2 linked regions of the Lepisosteus oculatus genome follow. The protein of the gene in region 1 purifies or fractionates together with the protein of each later gene. This does not show direct contact. Links are inferred from orthologs where the notes say so. Each region holds a gene or a part of one and is shown on either strand. Other genes may lie near its edges.

Region 1 (9,383 bases):
GCTTTTGTGGAATAAACCTTGCCCTTTCTATGCCGGATGTTAACATTTTTGTTACGTTAATCTCATTGACAAACATTAGAAGCCGAAAGCCCCAAAGCTAAATATAAATACGACTTCACTGGTCTGAAAAGCAGAACCGGACCACAGTGTAGTCCTCGAGCCACCCTAATGTGACCCAAAGCAGCATTATATAATATCTGAACTTTTAACTGTGTCATTAATAACACAGCACAGCATCGAAATGCTCTAGTGCACACAGAAAAGTGCTACTTAAAGCAACAACATGTGTTGTACTACAAGACCCGAGTCCCGCAGAAGACAGATCATCTTTAATGTTCAAGGAATTTCTATTTACAGAAAGCAGGCCAAACATTCCCAGAACCACAACTATAGCCAGGTCTGATCGCCAAACACTGCAGAGAGACAGCCCTAGTGTCTACTTCAATTTAGCCTACAGGCCTCAGTTGCTTCTGTGCAAGACGTGTACCCTACCTACCTAAAACCCCCAGGCCACCACAATGCACAGACATGCAGTATGGAGACGGAAGGTGTTTTTCTTTACACTGACCCCCAGAGACATTTTGAGAGAGGCGAGAGTAGCCTTAACAACCTGACAAAGGCCTGCCAAATCACAGAAGAACTGAAGAATGACTCTGCTGTCAGAGGAGTTTTCGCTGTAACTGAGACAACAGCTGTAGAGAGAAGTAGAGGTGTTGGATATATAAAAAACACGATGGCACATACACTGTAATCCACTGTGGAATCTGTATATTTGTAAGAGGTGAAAAATGTAACATAAAAGGAAAAGGTGAAATACACTGCGAGTAAAACAACTTTGCTGTACCCTCCCATGTCAAATTCCTTCCCTAAACCTCAACCCTGATTACTTCATTTAGGTATCCAGCGGAGAAAACGGTGACAGTGGGTTTCCTTATTTGGCAAAGCTGTTTCCGTCTGCAGTCTAGGGAAGGAAACGCCCTGCAGTCACCAGTCACCTGAATGGGCCTCTGTCAAGGCCCTTGTGTCAGAGACTCCTCTATCACTTGAGCTCTCAGGGGCTCCTTGTCAAGTAACCCCCCCTTGTCCTGGGGACGCAGGCTGAGGCCCGAGGTCTAGAAGAACCTGAGAACCAAACCTGATTTGTTCAGTTCACGTCCCGAGGGGCAGCACGAGGTCACGTGGGGACCCTCTGCTTCTTACCCAACACCCTCACAGGGCGGGCCAGGGCGTGAGCTGAGCTCCAGGGCTACGGCTCTCCTCTTAATAACACCTAACGCTCTGTCGCATCGCTTCTGGAACCTGCAACATGCAAAGCCTGACTTTTATCACTTGTTTGACAACGCAGGTTCATGCAAGCTTTCGAGCTTATCTCAGGCGTGTCCCCAGGTCAGCCTGTGGTCACACCGAGAACTCAGCTTCAGCTGCCAATGGCTAAGGCCTATTTGGCAAGAGGAAGTGTGCCTTCAGCTTGCAAAGTTGAAATCCACACAGTAGATTTTTTCTCTACTGAGCAGGAAGACAGATCATCGGAGCAGACATGTACAGTCAGTAATGTGGGTCCTGTGCGGGCTCTGCCTACCACAGTCAAGACCTGCAACTCCAAATATTCATTAACTGTGGCTCAGGAACACGTGAGCTGTCTGGCAGCTTGCCCCAGTCAGGATTCTCACAGAGCCAGAAAAGAGATTCAAAGTTTCAGTTTTAAAAACTGCACATATTGGGATCCAGAAATATACACGGGCAGTAAAAAAAAAGAAGGATATGTGGGAGGAGAATTCACGGAAGGTCCAAACTCCATGTCTGCAAGTCAAATCGGAAAAGTCTGACTTTGGTTTGTCCAGTAAGAAATCTAATCAGATGAGCATCACCTGTTCCATCCAAAGGGGTAAAAACAGGATTAAGTGTTCCATGTGCAGCTAATTCATAATCCAAGACAATGTAACCTGAATTCTTCTCGGGACCCTTCCTCTTAAACAAACCAAAAAGACAATTAAAACATTTGTTTGTTCAGCCTTGTCTGGGGGGGGGGCAAAGGGCAACTGCTTGAAACATGAAAGAGAAGAAAGTCCCACAGACTGTCATCATAGGACTCAAATTTCTATGGAGGAAGAAGGTTAAAGATGGAGTCTCGGGCAGAGCTCGCCATGGGACAAGAGGAAGCTGATGCTGGCTGGTGTTTCTGGGCAGGAAAATGAAGATCCACTCAGGTTCAGATCAGGGAAGTGTCAGGCAAACCAGACTACAGGGCACACAGTGGCATGTTTGAGGATACAACAGTAACAACAGAACTCAAGCTGATGGCTCCCCCATCTTCAGGACTGCTCCTGTGCTCCGTATGCAGTCATGTGCTTTCCTGCACAATGTACCACATCAGCAATTACTGTGGCTCTCCCTCGTCTTGCTACAGCAACTGCCGTGAAGTCTAACTCCATCGATCCGTTATCGGAAAACTGCGGATTGCTGATATGCATCCTGGAGCCTCTCTCCCAGTGGTTGGGATACTGTGGATGGGACACAGGTCCGTCACCGGGCCCGCTATACCTAGTCAGCAATTGTTTTTACCAAGTGCTGCGATTCCCTCCCACATTCCAAGCTTCTCACAGAAACAGACCCAGGCTGGAATCGAAGCCAGGACCCAGTTAACTACCATGCTGCCCTCCATTCCATTTGTATTGAGATAAACGTGAGGTGACTAAGCTCCTCGTCCAGTGCACACATACAGACCTCATCCACTCAGTGCTGTACATCACGCTGAAGCTACTATGAATCATCGGCACTCACCACTCACGAGCAGCACAGCACTGATGCGGCTCATCACAGACACCCGTGTCTGTGAAACTCACTCGTTCCTCTACGTTACATCTAAAACTTCACGGTGAAGATTGTGCCGTGTGCACCAAGCCGAACAGCATGAAATGAAAAAATAAGGCCCGCGCCTATGCGCCGCACAAGGTGAGAACACAAGCAGAAGGAATGATCCAGGACCCAGAGAGAGTGGACACCAAGCAACAACGCAGCAAACAGATTGCGACTGCAAACAACGCTAGCAGGCCTGTTGTGAAAGGATGACATGCCTCCTTCCTAAGGTTATTGGAATGCTTTCACAGAGGTACGTTATGATTTTTTTTCCTTCTCCAATTACAGAAGAAGAATGGGCTCCTGTCGACATTCTTGTGCAAGTCCCTGCATCACTCAAGCAGGGCTCTGAACAAGTCACAGGCTTCGCATCCTGCTGGGTAGCCCCAGGACTGTGTGGACTGATCTCCAAGTCCATCAGCACCTTTAAGCCCTGAGATGTATTTCTATCCGTTTCTAATTTTACTGTGAAGATGGTGTACTGTGAAAAGAGATACAAAAGGAGTGCAAGCTCCACATGTAAATGGCCAAGAAAAGATCTTATATAAAAGATCACCTATATGCGAACTGCACACTTTTAATTGTGAAATGCAAGAGATACTTCATTTTTTACATGTTATCTGCTTTTCAAGCCCTTGCTGCTTCTACAGCCATGTATCTTCTGTTCTGTTTGAGCTGAACAGCGTTTGTGGCTGAATAACAGACAACTCAAAAGAGCCCTGTTCAGCACAGACCCAAGAAGAGGCGATGGTGGTTGGGGTAGGTCCCAGCACATAGAACTTTGCCCTTTTGCTCGTTTATTTCTAAGCGTTGGAGTAATTTATGCATTCCTCATTATGTATTGATTGCTGAAGTCAGCATTAAAAAGAAAGACTAGAGTACTGTGCGGGGCTGTAAAAAAAAAAAAGTGTTATCTCGCCTCATGCTTCCAGGAACGCACACAATGTGCGCACACACACGCGCGTTGTGTGTGTATGCGCGGGTCTCTTTTCATGGCAACCCGTAGCCGCAGTGAGTGCAGCAAAACAGCCCTCCTTTAACAACTAGGCAGCTTTCTGCAGCACGGGGACCCGGTCACAGTTCTGCGCTGAACCTCCAGTGAAGTTCCCAGAGAGCCTATGTCCCCCCCGCGTCTTGTTTGTCCCACTAGCGGACTACGCTTATGTCCTGACCTTGCGTCCTCGCTATACTGCACTTTCTCTCCTTAAACTCAACCAAGCCCAGTCCCGCCCGGCTCAGTCCCGCCTCCATCCTTGCTAAAAGCTACGCTGATTGGCTGCGTTAGCAGCAGCCCGCCTACACCGCGGCGGTGCGATTGGGTCGTCGCTACTGTCCATCACTGTGTCCTTTCCTTGCGTACCGGGTTACAGAAACAATTTTGCTAGAATATTTCAGCCACCTTTCCTGCAGGGGAAAGAAACTACAGCCTGGCATTCCCAAGGCCTGCCCGGGAGTTCAGACAGGTACTACAGAAGGTCTGCTCCCATCGCTACCTATTACTAAAAGATCCTAAGTTACTTCTCTATGCCGTCACAGAGATGTGCTTCATTCCCCCGGTTTTTAGTCGCGCCGTTCTTTTTCTAAATGCAACCTATCTAGAAATAATGCAGAGGACTTACGTTTTGTTCTCCTTTAGTCGGTTAGCGGGTGAAAGTCTGTAAGTATTTCGGCGAATATTAGTTAACTAGCGGCTCGGCACCTCACAGCCGCACTGCCCTCCGATTCTCCAGACTGGAAATGACAGCGCGCGGAGCAAGACTACTCCGAGTCCAGGCCTTCTGCGTCACCGCGCTCTGACGTCACGAACAGGAATTTTGGCGTGCCGCACCCTCACGCTGGGAGACGTAACCTTAGCTGAAAGGACGAGCTCGCCGTTTGTTAAGCGTATTGTAGTGCCCGTTAGGAAAAAATATTTTTTGCTAAATAAATATAAAAAAGAAGCAACCGTTTTATTCCTCAGCTTTTTACATTGTGAATTACACGTAGACAAAATAAACTCTTTAGGAAGAAGTTTGCTACTTAAAGTCCTGACGGGAGGAAGCGTCCTGATTTCACGAGGTCCGGTGTTTACTAGTTGGGTTACGCTCGGTGTTAAATCCAGGCCCCGAGCATTGGGAATGTGCGTTGCTAAAGGTTTTGTCACACCGTGCTGTGTGTGAGTGGGGAGCCTCCCTAACCTCTTTAAGATGAGTTCACCTGTGTGTTGCTGTGGTCTTGGCCCCTAGAGACCAGAAATCTGCCGCTGCTAGGTGACAGGATGGGATGTGAATGGGAAACTCTAGAGCAGCCTTTGGACAGTCATCCCTGCTGATGTAATGAAGGGCTTGGTGGGAGTAGGCCAAGGGTGGTTTCTCACCCTGGTTACAGTCCGCATGAGGCGTGCCTGCTCCTGACCAGCTGTGCTCCTCTCCCACCTCAGCAGAGAGGCCGCTGCTGCCCTTCCTGAGGCCAAAGAGTGGTGGTCAGTTTTACAGCTGTGTGAGAAGTGAAAACTCTGTCCACCCCCACCCCAAACACCACTGCGTGAAACGCTGTCAATTCAAGCTTTATCTTTTTCAATTCAAGCTTTATTGTCCCCTAGGGGAAATTAGTTTCACGACACAAACACAACACAATGACAAATGCACATCATCAAAAGGGAAGAGAATACAGAAGTGTTACAGGAGAAAAGAAACAAGAGACAAGGTAGTGACTTTGCATTGTTCAAGAGTGATTGCAGTGGGGACGAAAGATTTCCTGAGTCTGTTGGTTTTATACCTGGGGGGCACAGAGGCATTTCCCAGATGGGAGAAGTGTGAATTCACAATGGAGGGGGTGAGACACACACTCCCTGATGCTTTTGGCTTTCTTAGTCACCCTCTGTTTGTAAAGGATGCTTAAGTTGAGGGGTGAGTCAGAGAGGCCCTTCCCCCAGTGCAAGCTGCACCAGTCTCAGAAAGCGCTGTGCCAGTGTGATTCTGAAGTCTCTGTGCAGGCCTGCTGCCTGGTACAGAAACATGCTGTATGTCTGTCTCACCTGCATCTGTATAGCTGGTGTGGGAGCACAGTCCATCTGCGTCCGTGCAGGCCTGCTGCCTGGTGCAGAAACATGCTGTGTGTCTGTCTCACCTGTGTCTGTATAGCTGTCTTTGGGTGTGGGAGCACAGTCCATCTGTCGATGTGAGAGGCTGCGTGCGGGTGTTGTGTACATGTGCCTCCGGGGGTGTGCGTGATCTCGCTGTTATCACTTCGCCTGTGATAGTGAGTGCTGGTGGGGGGGGGCGGGGGGGGGTCAGGAGGAGAGACTTTGTCCTTTGTTGTGCAAGGAGGAGCTGGACTCTGCTCACACCAGCCTTGCAGCATCAGCACAGCGGGGCGCCGAAGGGGTGCCGGGGGGGGGGCGCATCTGTGGCCAGGTGGAGGGGTCAGAGGGGGATCACGTCCGCAGGTGCGTCGATACGAGAGCCGTCATTTCCACGTCACGAGAGGTTTCTGCCCTGTCAGCTGGTGCAAGTGCATTCCTCCTCTCTGCCAGAAATCAGCGAGACAGCAGCTGGCAATGAGGAAAGGGAACTCTTCGTCCGCCGGACAGACTGCAGGAGACACCGGTCACCACAGGGTGTCATCACCTTGCCCGGAACACTATAACTTCCTCGTTTTATCAGCTTTTGCTCAGTGGCAGCTAAAGAATCTGGCTATTCCATCCACCCATCCCTTTTTAAATTCTTTATTTAATTAAGGGTTGTGGGGGAGTGCCTATCCCAACAAGAAACAGGCACAAGGACACCCTGGACAAGACAGGACGGCACTCCATCACCGGGCACACAGACTCGCACCAGGGCCAATTTTCCCAGATGCCAACTCACCCAGTATGTCTTTGAACTGTAGGAGGAAACTGGAGCACCCAGAGGAAACCCATGTGGACCTGGGAAAAACATACAAACTCCTCACAGACAGTACTCCAGGTGCTACAAGGCAGCCATGCTAGCCAACGATAAAAAGACATTTTAATTAGTTTAAGCCAGGATCCACTGGATCAGCTACAGTCCTTCTGGCATTTTCAATGTTTTTCAGACAGAGGAAACGACAACAGCAAGGAGAAAGAGAGAGAGAGAGAAGGGAGGGCTTATATTGAAGTTGTTGCTTTTATTGATAACATTTTAACACATTTCCTTAAGTCAGAGAACACATAGAGCACATCGGAGAACAGTAATCATCAGAATAATCATCCGAGAAATAGAGTAGTTTAATATCTTCATAGAAACCAGAACTGACAGAAACAAAAAAGAAAAGAAAAGAAGGTTTTAAACTGCGGAGAAACTATACTTTGAAAAGAAGGACAAGGGGGGGAAGAAAGGCAGAAGGAATACTACAAAGAGTCGTCAGCTCGGTGTTGTCAGGCAGCAGGAGGAGAGAGAGAGAGCAGCGTCGTACAGAGCCGAAGAGCTGAGCGGACGCAGGACCACCTCTCCGCGGGGCAGGCGGCTTGACCCTGGGCTGGAGGAGCGACGAGAACCCCGAGCGAGTCCGGGTAAGCCCCTCCCCCCCAGCTGCTGCCCCTCCCTTTCTTGTTTCGGAAGGGCGGTGTGGTTCCCCCGCCAGCTCCCCCCCACCCTCGCTGCGGGACCCTGCAGTGGGACTGTGACGGGAAGAGCGAATCATGCTACACGGATGTTAAGGTCCTGTCGTCTTCCGGCGGCGCTGCTAGGGGCACTGGGCGAGGACCAGGGCTGCACTGGCCTTCAAGCGACACCTGAGCGCCTGCCGGCCACTACCGCACAAGCTGCGTGGAAGTGCTGGAGTGTCCTAGTGTCGCATCGTGGGCGCCTCCTGCTGCGATAAAGGGCCCGGGATTAAGATTAAATCTGCACCATTTATTACAAACGTGCCACACCCTTGTCTTTAGTTTTAGTGTCCTTGGAATAATTTAGTTTTCAAGCCACAATGCTGTTTGTCCTCTAAACCAGGTCAATCGAGATAAAAGATTATAAAACACATTAGATCTACCCTGAAGAGAAAACAGAATCGAAAATTTGGACCCCGATGGAGATAAGGAATAAACTGTTTTAAACTTTTGTTTTTACCAAGGTGCAACTGCATTGTAAAAACTGTGCCTTCCACATATCATGTTTAAATAAACATGGCATTTTCAATCACACGCAAGCTCTTAACAACAAACGAAAATAATTACTGTTCTATCAGCCATTATTCTTCACTTTTTAATCGAAAATTTGACAGCATTGGATTGCGCCATCTAGCGTACGTGTACGTAGACCGCAGGTCTTATTTACAAAGGAAATTCAGCAGGATTAAAAGCAAACGTATACTGTTTTCTTCGGACACCCGGCAGCTCACGTACAGGTTTGTCTGGAGTTTCAGACTGAAAAAACAAGAGAATTCAAGAGCGAAATAACTGTAACCCATAACCGAGGTGTTGAAAAGTGATGGACTGCGCTGAATTTCAAACCAAGTAACAACAGTCTTGCGAGTGGTCATGGCTTCGTGATCGTAAACTGTATTTTGACCCTTTTAAAAATAGACGATTGACTGAAGAATTTTGATTTGATTTAGTGGAGCAGCGGTTTCCCCGCTACAGGTGTACGGCGTGGAAGGCCCCACGCGGGGCATCAACAAGCGCAGACTTTGCATTCGCACGAGGCTACGGGAGCGGAACCTGCTGCAGCTGAAGTAGAGCAGTCTTCTCTTTAAAAGGCTTCCGAAAAGGCGAGACCAGTGTACAGTGTTTGACTGAAAACAAAAAGAATAAACATATCCGTAGGTTTGAGGGGGCGGAGAAACAGAACGGCTCTCCTGTCGACTGAAAATAGGGTTTCAGGCGCCCTATCACAGGTGGTTCACAGGTGGTTCACGGGTGTTGAACGTCCGAAACCACGCTACCAGGTTAAGAAGAACCAGCCCTAGCGGTCAATACAAGTATTGCAATCCCCCCCAAAAAAGACGAAAACCGATGCAAGTCGTCTCTCATCTCGATTTTTTTTTCACCCAAACAAAGGGGGAGGAAATTATTCTCCTTCCCTGAGAATGCAATTAAAACAATGGAAGATGATTTAGTAGCTAGACAAGAGTTGGGAAAAGAAGACTCTGTAACAGAGTGAAATGGGTCAGGCTCCTCTGGCAGTGCTTGAGAGGAGCTGGCGGTAGCTAAGACCATCAGCTGGGCCCGCCAGGAGATGGTGTGACTGGTGTAGAGCCCACCCCCCTCGCCCCCTCCCTGGACCGGCAGCTGTGAGAAGCATGAACAGGTCCCAGCCCCGCAGACCACAGGAGGCATGTCTTTCTGCTCCGGTAAGAGCCTGCGGCAAGGCCAGAACACTCTACAGCTCCCTCTTCGGAAGAGGCCAGCACCTCGGAGATGAAGAAGAAAGAACATAAGACTGGTCACCAGGAGACGCGGAGGAACGCAGGCTGCAGTCTGGTGTGCTCAAGTGAGATGAGCTTGACTTGGGAGAAGAGAGCTGAAGCCTGGTCCAGAAACTCTCCTGAAGAGGAGATCATGTGACCTTGGAGGGGGGCTCACAGTTCCACAG
Region 2 (10,360 bases), on another chromosome or scaffold:
TCCACGGCCGAAACGTTGTGTTCTCTTTCTTCTTTTTTTCAACATGGAATAAACCTATTACTTGTTCCTTTGCAGCCTACGCATGCTGACGCAGGTACCCACCTGAACTACTATATCAATAATTAATATCAATAGTGATAAAAACATTTCTGAAAAATGTATACCAATATGGATACACCAAAACTGTAAATCTAGTAATAAATGACAATACTGTTCTGCGATATATAGAACTGCAGTCAAATATGCAAGAATTACTACAGAATAAAAAAGAAATTAATACAGTATTCTAAATTCCAAAACTTTAATGGGAAAAAAAAACAATACCTTTCTCCCACCTTACATCACCCTCTGTGACAGACTCCGCAAATGCAGGAGTATTTACTGTGACAACTTCATTTTCTGTTAAAACAAAAAAGAATGTGAACATACTTTACTAAAGGCAATTTAAAAAACAAACTGAAGACAAATTTTTAATTTTAAATGGGACCAAGGCAGGTGAATACTTACTGCAGACTGCTGAAGTCTTAAAGTACCTAATGTGGAAGACACTAGATCTCCTGCCACATTCCCTGAAAGAAATGTGATTATTCAGGCAGCTTTAATAGTAAAAAAGCAGAATTACTGTACGATTAACATTTTTCTTTATCAGCAGCTAATTTCATACCGATTATCTTTACAACTGAGAATTACTCTTGACAAAACTCTAGTAATGCAAATGTACGTCTGTTAAAATGTTTAACTAACTATTCAGTTCCATCATATTGGTTAAATGAATCAACAGTTAATTCAATTCAAAACTCTTATGGGAATATTGACAATGTATTGGTATTTGTGTAAAAGAATGATAGTAACACTGATGTCCTGAACGTTAAAAGTAAAATTATGTCTGAGGTTTCTTTAACCATAAAAAGACCCAATTTCACCTTGGTTAAAAGACTTTAAATGCAAACCCACAGGTGTTTAAAATAAATAGAACAAGTGCACTTTACAGGATGTTGAACATTTATAATCATGAACTCATTTTTTCTTACTAATGAAACAACTCGGAAATCATACTGCTTGAAAGCAATATAACTCCAGACAATTTCAGAGAAGTTTTTTTGAGCCGTTCAACTTAACTTGAGGACTTAGAGATTAATAAAGACACATGCACATATATATGGGTGACAAAAGGAGATTCCAAAAAAACAGAACACTTACAGACGGCTCTTCTCATAAGCAAGGTGATGACAAGCAGAAAGGCCTAAACAGATAAAGGATAACATTAACAGTCTGATGACAATACTCCATTATTTAAATAGAGTAATCCTATTAATATCTTACTGTATATTTAAGTGGTCCTTTGTAAAGAGTACTTAACCTCTCAAAAGCCCTTTATTTAATCAGGGTACTCAATAAGCATTATCATCTCCAGTAGAATTGTTCATGAATCATTCATGGGGAATTTGACCAATTTTATGGATATTCATAAGACATAAAATCTTTGTGTATGACCGACAACAGAACTAAATTATGCTAAATCAGTGAAAATAAAAGGCAAAATCCTTACCTGAAATGGCCCTCCTCCCTAAGACACTGTTACCCTGTTGAAAGAAAAGAAAAACATGAAATGCTTTTATTCACAAAATAAGTTTTAACATAAGCACACATTTTGTATTTTGGACCTGTATCAAGTTTGTAAATTGCCATTCTTCAATTAATAGGATATGACCAATTCTATGAATTCTGATTCCAGAATACATGAAAATACAAGATAATGAGATAAGAAAAATAGGTTAAAGGACTGTGGACTGCAGTTCACGTACGTGTGGTAACACCGGTTTAATTATATTTTATATAACTGGTGACTCCAGTTTAATTAAATATACCTGCGGATACAAGTAAACTGTCACAAGACACGATAAAGCTGAAAGTAATATTTTTCTTTAGCATAGCAAATAAAATAGACTGTAGGAATCCCTCACCAAAATATACAGTTCAGCAAAACATTTTATAATTACTTCAGTGTTTCGAGTCTGAAGACGATCTTTCTTTTCAGGAGGAAGAAAAAGGCCAACTCAAAACTACTTGACTGCAACTTACTGTACCTATTGTCATTTTGTTACAAAAAACTTATGTTAAGAACAAAGAGAAGCCTAACCATACTTTATAATGACCCCCTCCTCCCTGACTCCCCTTACATCTCTTCTGCGACAAAAGAATCAGAATGTCCAGCAGGCCCAGACCCTCAGCTTCACACAAGAGTAAAATAACAATAAAAGGACAACCTCTTAATCAGCACATTTTATGCTGAGAACAGAAATATAGAAAGAACTGGATGCCTTGACTACTGTTTCACAAAGGGGCAAGGTACAAGAATTATGCAATCTTTCTATTCTGAGAAATGTTTTCAGACCATAAATACCATTAATGATGGCACATCTTTCCAGAAATTCAGTAAAGAAAAAAACATCAAAGATTTTTCATTTCTTAAAGTAAAAAGATCTTCATCTGACCTTTGTGCAAGCAATGTGGTGTGGTTTTAGTGGGTTTTATATTGGCTCATATTGGTAGTGAAATGTCACATACATAGCTTTTTTGTTAATGATCTTGAAGGCACTGTCCAACAAAACATTTTCAGACTGTGGAGTCAAGCTAATTTTTCTCCATTAGTAATACTGTCTTGGCATGCCACTGATTTTGTAAACCAGCCTTCTTACAATTCTCTGCAGCCAAAAACCACTTGTGAGTGGAGTGCTCTGATTGAGAAAAACTCTATATGTTCATTCTACAGGTTTAAAAAAAAATCAAATGGCTTTAAGCCAAATATTATTCTTTAAATATACATAAATATACACCACATGGAAATTATACAATAAACTACTTCAGTATGTTTGGGAACTTTCTCAATTTACAATTGTATTTTAGGGAAATGTTTTTGAAAACTGACATTTTGCAAAGAAAAAAAACAAATAAGCCCTAGTACCCAAGTAACCTGAAGTACTGCATTCACCCCTCAAGCTATTTTTAAAAGTATGCAGTTGTAGTGTGATCATTCCTGGGTGACTGGGAATGAATCTTATTGACCCCCAGTTTTATAACATAACACACAAATAAAGGTTAACACAAAACATTTAACAACAACAGCTGCTTACATAATGAATAAAAAATATAAGTGGAAACAAAGTTCTAATAAATCATACCATATTTGCAAGATTTTAATAACTGTACATATCAAATGGTTATTTATTTTAAAATATGTTATTTCTGATTGAAAATTCAAAATATATTTTAATACTCCTATCAGGTACCCAAACAAGGCACAGTGTTTTACTTTGAACTTTTGTGGAGTTTTGATCATCTCTTTAGTCATGGACTACAAAATAAATGCACCCCTTAGTGTGAAATAATTTCCTCTATTCCGATTGGAATGTATTTAAGATACATATTATACATACACCCGGCAGTTCATTAAAATATGAAATGTAAATTTACAAATAGAACTCATGTGATTTTAATGCGTGATACTATTTTAAACATGCCTAAGTTTGTAAGAAAACATTGGCTGAGTTTAGCAACACCACACAACACTGGGGAATTCTAAAGGCCATCAATACTTTGTGATGCACCTCCTTATGCAAGGCAGGAGTTCAAACACTATCACAGACATGGTCCTACAGGGTGGACCTGCTGTCTTTGAAGTGGGGTGAAATTTCAAGACATTTGGATACTCTGCCCCACCTTAACCGCCAACCGTCTGACCGTGAACCTAGCTGAACAGATCAGTTATTATACATGATCAATACCTGCAAAATCACCAAGAGTTAAAACGACTTTGGTTACTGTTTTCTATGGTTTCAGAACTTGTTTATCTCCGTATTAAATTCTAAAAGAGAGACCGCTCAACACACCACAGGCCACCTTGGGCTGTGCCTTCACTCTCTTCTGCCGTTAATAATATTCAGTCAAGGGGCAACATGTGAGCTGCAGGTCAGCCTTGTTCTGTTACGTTGATCAATTCACAACAGCCGGGCAGAATAAAAACGGGGAAAAAATAAAGCACTACAGAGTGGCAATTTGCAAACGCTACATGCACAAATGTAACTCGGCAAGTGTTGTTTTTTTTTAATGGAACAACCTATCAATGACCTCACTTCAGCGCAGAAGTTTTTCCCCAAAGTGTCTTCAATGACGCCGTAGAATACAAAGATTATACGACCGGATTTCGTTATTATTCAAGTCGCCCCCTCAACCCTCAGGGTGCTTATTCTCAGTGTTTTACAGAGGAGCCGCTCTGCGATCGCGGGTACGGAGTGTCACTCTGTCCTTGGGGTGTCGTGAGGCCTATCCCCGGCCTACATCCTACTCCACCGCCTCACTGCCAAACCCCAGGCTCTCGCATTCAGCCCCAGCGAGCTAACGGCGGGTTGCTTTTTCCAAGAGCCTACCTGGCTGAGAGCGGAGAGGGAGCGGCCGAGAGTCCGGGAGAAACACCGGGAGTGGGAAAGCATGACGACTAAGGACAGCGGTAGCAGTACCGGGGAAAACCAACAGCAGACAACCCGACCAAGAAGCTGTCACACAGAACCACAGGGCGGAAACAACCTGGGATAAACCAACGTGAACAGTGACGGGGGAGGGGAGGTTGGGATTGTTGGGGCAAACCAACACCGAATAGGGATTAGGAACATCCAAAAGGAGTAAAAAATGTTTTTTTTTTAAATACAGGAATTTGGGAAGCACACGTTGTCTCTTTTAAGTACCCTCGCATTTGTTAAACATTCTTGCTTTGTGAAAAATGGGATTTCTTCACTAGTGAAGAACTAGGAATGTCGTTGACTTATTTTGCAATGGTTTAACGTCTCTTCTCGGATTTGCCCACAGATGCTACTACAGTTATCTTTATTGTTTTATATTGCTTTACAATGCAACAGAAAAACTCGTGCTTACTGGAATAAACACTACGCTTGGGGTTCAAACGGGAGTGATGAGATTTTATTGATAATTATCCTTAGTTAACTCATTCACAAATAATTCATTAATTATTACAACTCTAAATGTGTAGAATGGCGAGTTCACCTCGAGTTTTCAACAGAAACTTGTCGTTTTATTTCTGGGCTATAATAGCACGGACTGAGAATCGGGCTGTGACACCCAGTCAAATCGTACAGTTGTACTGTATCAGAAAGCACAGCTCTCTGTTCTGCTTGAGTTTTAAAAGGGATACGTTAGAAGGAACGCATTATCTGAACGGCATAAAAACACGAAAGGGAGATATCTGCTGTTCATGCACCGAAATGTGATTGTAACGAACATCACCGCTACTTTGTAATTCCCTGTCATGTTCCGCTCCTGCAGCGCCGCTTTCGTCTCATTAACATAGCTGAACTCCGATTTGCCTGAGCTGACCACACCTCCGCTAGCCCCTTGTGTCATGGACCGGCCTTTGAGGCTCCTGCTCTCAGGATTGATTTAACCTTTCTCGCAGGGATAGGGAGTAGCATCTTCTCAGCGGGGCTGCAGGTAAGACAACCTCAGAAACCCTCCTCGATCTCAAGTGTCCTTCCTTTATGGAACAGAATAACACGCCTTTTGTTTTTTTTGTTTTTAGAACATAACTGCAACGTTCCCGATTTTGTTTTTCAAGTTTATTCATCTTCCTACTATTAAGTTGTACTTTCACCGCATTACTGAAAGATGGCAATGAAAAATATTTAATTGTGTGGGGGAAAAAAACTCCTAGTCATTTCAGGTTGAAGCAAATAATGTGCCTTTGCAAGTGTAGAGAAATACTGTATATGTCTACAACATTTTGTAGCTTAATCTTCTGGACAAGTAGTACACCGTGTTAAAGTGATTATTTCTCCGTCTTTAAATAGACTTTAGATGTTGTCGATATTATTAATAATTGTAGTCGACTAGCAATTTGTTGTAATTAAGGAAGGACACCGACTGCTTTTAATAATCTGTCAGAATGCAGAACATGAAATGCATTTACTGGATAATAATCAATTTGTTTGAATATGTTGCAAATAACTTGTGCCCTGTTTGTATTACACCTCTATCAATGTAATGGTTTGCTATATACTTGGTATTTATTTTTTGGTCACCGTATGGCAAGATTTATTTTAAGAACAGTTTTGGGAAAGTACTTATAGATTAAATATAATAATGCAAACATATGTTTTTAAATAGGATGTATTAACAAACTCCTAGAACGTGTTATTTATATGCATTTACATCTTGTGATATAGCATTTCACATCATATCTTGTGAAAAAAGGAAGATGGAGCATTTTGTCCACGGTACAATGTAACAGATCTTGAGTAGGATTTTATATTTTATACTTTAGAATACATTTTCTAAATTTATTGATACTCAACTCCTTAGTTACGAATTATATACTTCTTAATATTTAACCACAATGAGACTAAACACTGAAAAAACGGAAGTACCCTGAGTATGCTTCACTCTGTCATAGATGATAAGGATAAGAACGTTTTTATTTGAATTAGTCAAATGATTTGTTGTAATATAGTTTTTACAGTTAAGATATGTCCAATGTCTTAGATAAAAGAGAAATAACAAGGAACTTAGTTTTTTGTGCTTGTTTTTAAGTGTGCTTAATACTGTAAATGCCATTTTAACGGTAAGAGAAGCTTTGATTTATTGTTGGGAAGTAAAGTTACTAATTAACTGTTGTGTATTCAACTACTCAACTACTGTACCTCATTTCCTCTTTTATTCAGCTAAGTGGAATAACTTGCCCAATTCTGAAACCTAGCACACTTGTGACCAGTTCTCATTACATGGAAAATAATTGCTGAGTAAAACACAAAGCAATCTGCGTTCAAACAGGAGCAACACGATTTTAATCAAGATTTGTTGATTGAAATCAACAATAAGACCAAAGCTGGATTCCTTAATGTTTTATTAATGTTACAAAAATTATTTGAGAGAAACAAATTCACCTGTTGGTTAATTTTAACACAAATTTGTCCAAGTCTGAACATACTTTGATTACGTTTAAATATGGTCACATTTTTACAAGCAATGCTTGTACTATACATACACTAAATTCTTTTAACTTAAATTGAGGATTAATATTGCATTAAAAATTAATATGGGCATTTTAGGTACATTAAGTTAGTATGTCTGACAATATTGTAAGGTCTGCTTTACTATCCCAAGAATGTTATTTCAAGAACACACCACAAATACAATTCCTCAAACAATACAAAGAATTCAACTGAACAATATTTCTCAGTTGAACCAAATATCTCATAAACATACATCCTGTGTAACAAATGTGGCTCTGTTTTTACAAGTTTCATCAACAGATGTTTTTTTTTTTAGTATGTAAACAACTTTCTCAAACTATATAAATAAAACTGCCATCTGAGATGCTTTTTCTCTTTAATATGTCATTTCAGAATATTTCAGAAGCGGATATAAAATCAGTGATTGTGACACAAATGAAATAAATGGTGTACTTTAAATGTATGAGATTCTGAAAACTGTGTTCTGAGAAAGGCACTGTACAGGATGTGTAAAATGCTAGTGAAGTTTACATGGAGATCAGCAATAATATTCTAAACAAAACCATCATTCCTTTAATAGTTGGGATAAGGTGTATAATCTCTGACAAAATGAATCTAGAGACAGGTTACAGTATATAGTTAGCATGATGATAAAGTTTTTATTATCCAAAGCAATTAATGTATTCAAGGCTGATATGATGGTTTAATAATACATCAGTCTTTCTTTTTGTTTTCACTTTTCATGAACAGACAGAATGCTTGCTAAACGTTTCTTTGGCCTATTTATTTGCATTTATTTTTACAGAAAAATAGGATTTTCTGTCACCTCAGTTCACAATTTGTATGTGGTTTACCAGCTTGTTGACTACGTCTGAGTCATGCAGAAAAGGTTTATTTTTAAGATTAAGTAATACAAAAGCTTCAGAATTGTTTTTTGATTCATTAAAATGTTTCTGAAGAATTCAGTAGCTGGCTAGGTGCTGATAGAGAATGCTTTTTTAATAGGAATTATATTTGCAGCGTATGTTAATTGTACCTGTTTTGTAACACATTAATGTGCAGTATTTTAGTATCTACCTGTACTTGTAATAAATGAACAACAACGACAATAACACTATTCTTGTAGCTATACATTCTGCTTTGTTCTGTGTGGTTCTTACTTTTACTGATTGTAAGACTGTCTATGAGCCTATTTTGGGATTTTGGATCTACTGATAAATTGTAATTATCTCTTCAGGGCTATAAATATGTTAAGGTTTTGGAAAACGTTCTACCTGTGCAAATGCATAATTTACATCCCATGTTTGAAAGGGAATGGCAATGTGTTGCTATAAAAAAGGACAATATGAGGAATCAGGGGTTATGCTTTAATTTACTGAGGTTAATTTTCATGGACTGGCTCAGACTTTGTTACTGGTTATTTATCTACCTTTCCAATTTTGTAGCAAAACATTCCTGATGTCCTTCATGTACGATTTATAATCGTGTAACAGTTAAGGCTTTTGCCTATGTAAACAAATATTAGTGTTAAACATAAACTGTTGTTTCAGAGTTGTGTAGAGATTTATTCTGAACACTTCATGCATTTAAGTTATTATTTACATTAAGGAAAGTACATGTTTCATTGTGCTGTGCTGTTATAATAGTATCCTTACATCTTTTATTAGTCTGTAGTTAAGTCTTTTATTTTTTATCACTGACTTTTCAACTGTTTTAGCTTCTCAAGTAATAAAAAGATTAAAAGAGTGTTTTATATATTTTATAATAATAAATCTTACTCATCTGTTTGGTCTTTAGGAGACCTTATTCTCTCTTTTTGTCCCATAATTAAAGATCTTTTAGGGTGTTTTTAATCTTTTTTAACACGCAAGATAAAGGGATGCTATTTTGCAGTTTAATGATGCCCAATCTCTGCATTTTTTAAATTTGCCTTTATAGTGAGAAGCAAGGGTCCTTCACCAGAACAGTGAATACATACTGGCAAGAAAGGTTTTTGAATGAGATTAGCCTAAAACTAAAGATCGAAACCAAGCACTGCAGAATGAGGGATATTGTTGCATTGTTGGACTCATCATTGGTTTGTGTTGTGGTCTGAGCTGTGCTCAAATGTTCATGGTTTTTGGTACAATAAGGCTGAACAAACAGGAATGTCAACAATGTATTGCTGCTGAGCGTCACTTGTACGTTAATGTAGAGCATATGTCATTTTTACATAATGTCTGAGGAATCCAGAAAAGATGTGGCTGCCTTCTATTTTATTGATAGAGACAAATCATACATCAGACCTTATTAGACACTTATTTTTTTGAAAGAAAATATCATACAATTGTGGCAGCAGATAGATGTATAGAGTTGATTTTCATATGATGCTAGAATTCATTTTTCACTGTTTCAGTATTCAACTCTATAAATTTTGACTCACTAGAACTTCTAATTAAGAGACAATGGCTATGGTGGAATACTTTCACGGTATCTATTTTTTGCCATTTTATTGATCTTTGGGAGAGTGATTTAAAAATCAATCTTAAAGACACATTTGTGTGTGGAAATTTTATTTTGGACATGGGTGGCTATTGAAAACACTTTTACATTAAGTTTTTTAATGCTTGTCTTTATTTCAGATATCCTCAACATCGGGCTTGATAACATTTCAGATTTATTGATTCGGGCATCTCTTCATTAAATTTTGTTCTTTTTGAATAACGATTGCCTCCCTAAACATGAACCTCAGCATCTCAGATCCAAACATGCATTCCTCCAGCGCAAACTATCTGGAGGAGGACAAAGGGGAAATCCTCCATTCGTCCTTCAGAAAAAATCTGTATGACGGCTCTCTGAATATGTACTCGAATGGATCCATCATTTCTCAGCTTTTGCGTAAAACCATTCAGAGTAAGAGAGCTCTGGAGGAGGGTGTGTTCTTCTTGCCTGCCACTGCGGTCTCCAGCTGCACCATGGGAGATTCCGCCCAGGAGGACAGAAGCAGCAGCTCATCCAAAGACAGCACCCTAGAGCCACTTTCCCCAGGTAGCCACACTTCTACCACAGCCAGCCCCGAGGGTGACCGACCACTGAATGAGCACCACCAAGCCAAGCGGGCCAGGGTGGAGAACATCATCAGAGGCATGGCAGGATCTCCTAACGCAAAGACGCCTGGAGAAGGAGACAGGAGTGAAACTGGTGGGGATATAAGGGAGACCTACCGGGAAAACAAAAGGAAGCAGAGGCTCCCCCAGCACCAGAACCACAGCCTCAGTGGTGGAGCCAGCAGACCCAACAGTAAAGATGAAGAGTGCCATAAGCTGAAAGAGCAGCTGCAGGCCATGCAAAGACACCTGAGG

The links. The genes of interacting proteins can lie anywhere in the genome.
Region 2: the proteins of ogdhb (region 1) and dlst fractionate together in Homo sapiens (co-fractionation; 3 studies listed by BioGRID). This does not show direct contact. The link is inferred for Lepisosteus oculatus from reciprocal best matches to the Homo sapiens genes OGDH and DLST.

The regions. Positions count from the first base shown.
Region 1 is NC_090697.1:69,253,500-69,262,882, reverse strand, and holds the start of ogdhb (2-oxoglutarate dehydrogenase complex component E1), read right to left. Parts: upstream 4,637-9,383; 5' UTR 4,476-4,636; intron 1-4,475. UniProt on the Homo sapiens protein: 2-oxoglutarate dehydrogenase (E1o) component of the 2-oxoglutarate dehydrogenase complex (OGDHC). Participates in the first step, rate limiting for the overall conversion of 2-oxoglutarate to succinyl-CoA and CO(2) catalyzed by the whole OGDHC.
Region 2 is NC_090703.1:9,037,154-9,047,513, forward strand, and holds the start of dlst (dihydrolipoyllysine-residue succinyltransferase component of 2-oxoglutarate dehydrogenase complex, mitochondrial), read right to left. Parts: upstream 4,584-10,360; 5' UTR 4,491-4,583; coding exon 4,428-4,490; intron 1,584-4,427; coding exon 1,550-1,583; intron 1,244-1,549; coding exon 1,201-1,243; intron 570-1,200; coding exon 508-569; intron 400-507; coding exon 325-399; intron 1-324. Other genes in the region: prox2 (prospero homeobox protein 2), read left to right, coding at 9,740-10,360. UniProt on the Homo sapiens protein: Dihydrolipoamide succinyltransferase (E2) component of the 2-oxoglutarate dehydrogenase complex. The 2-oxoglutarate dehydrogenase complex catalyzes the overall conversion of 2-oxoglutarate to succinyl-CoA and CO(2).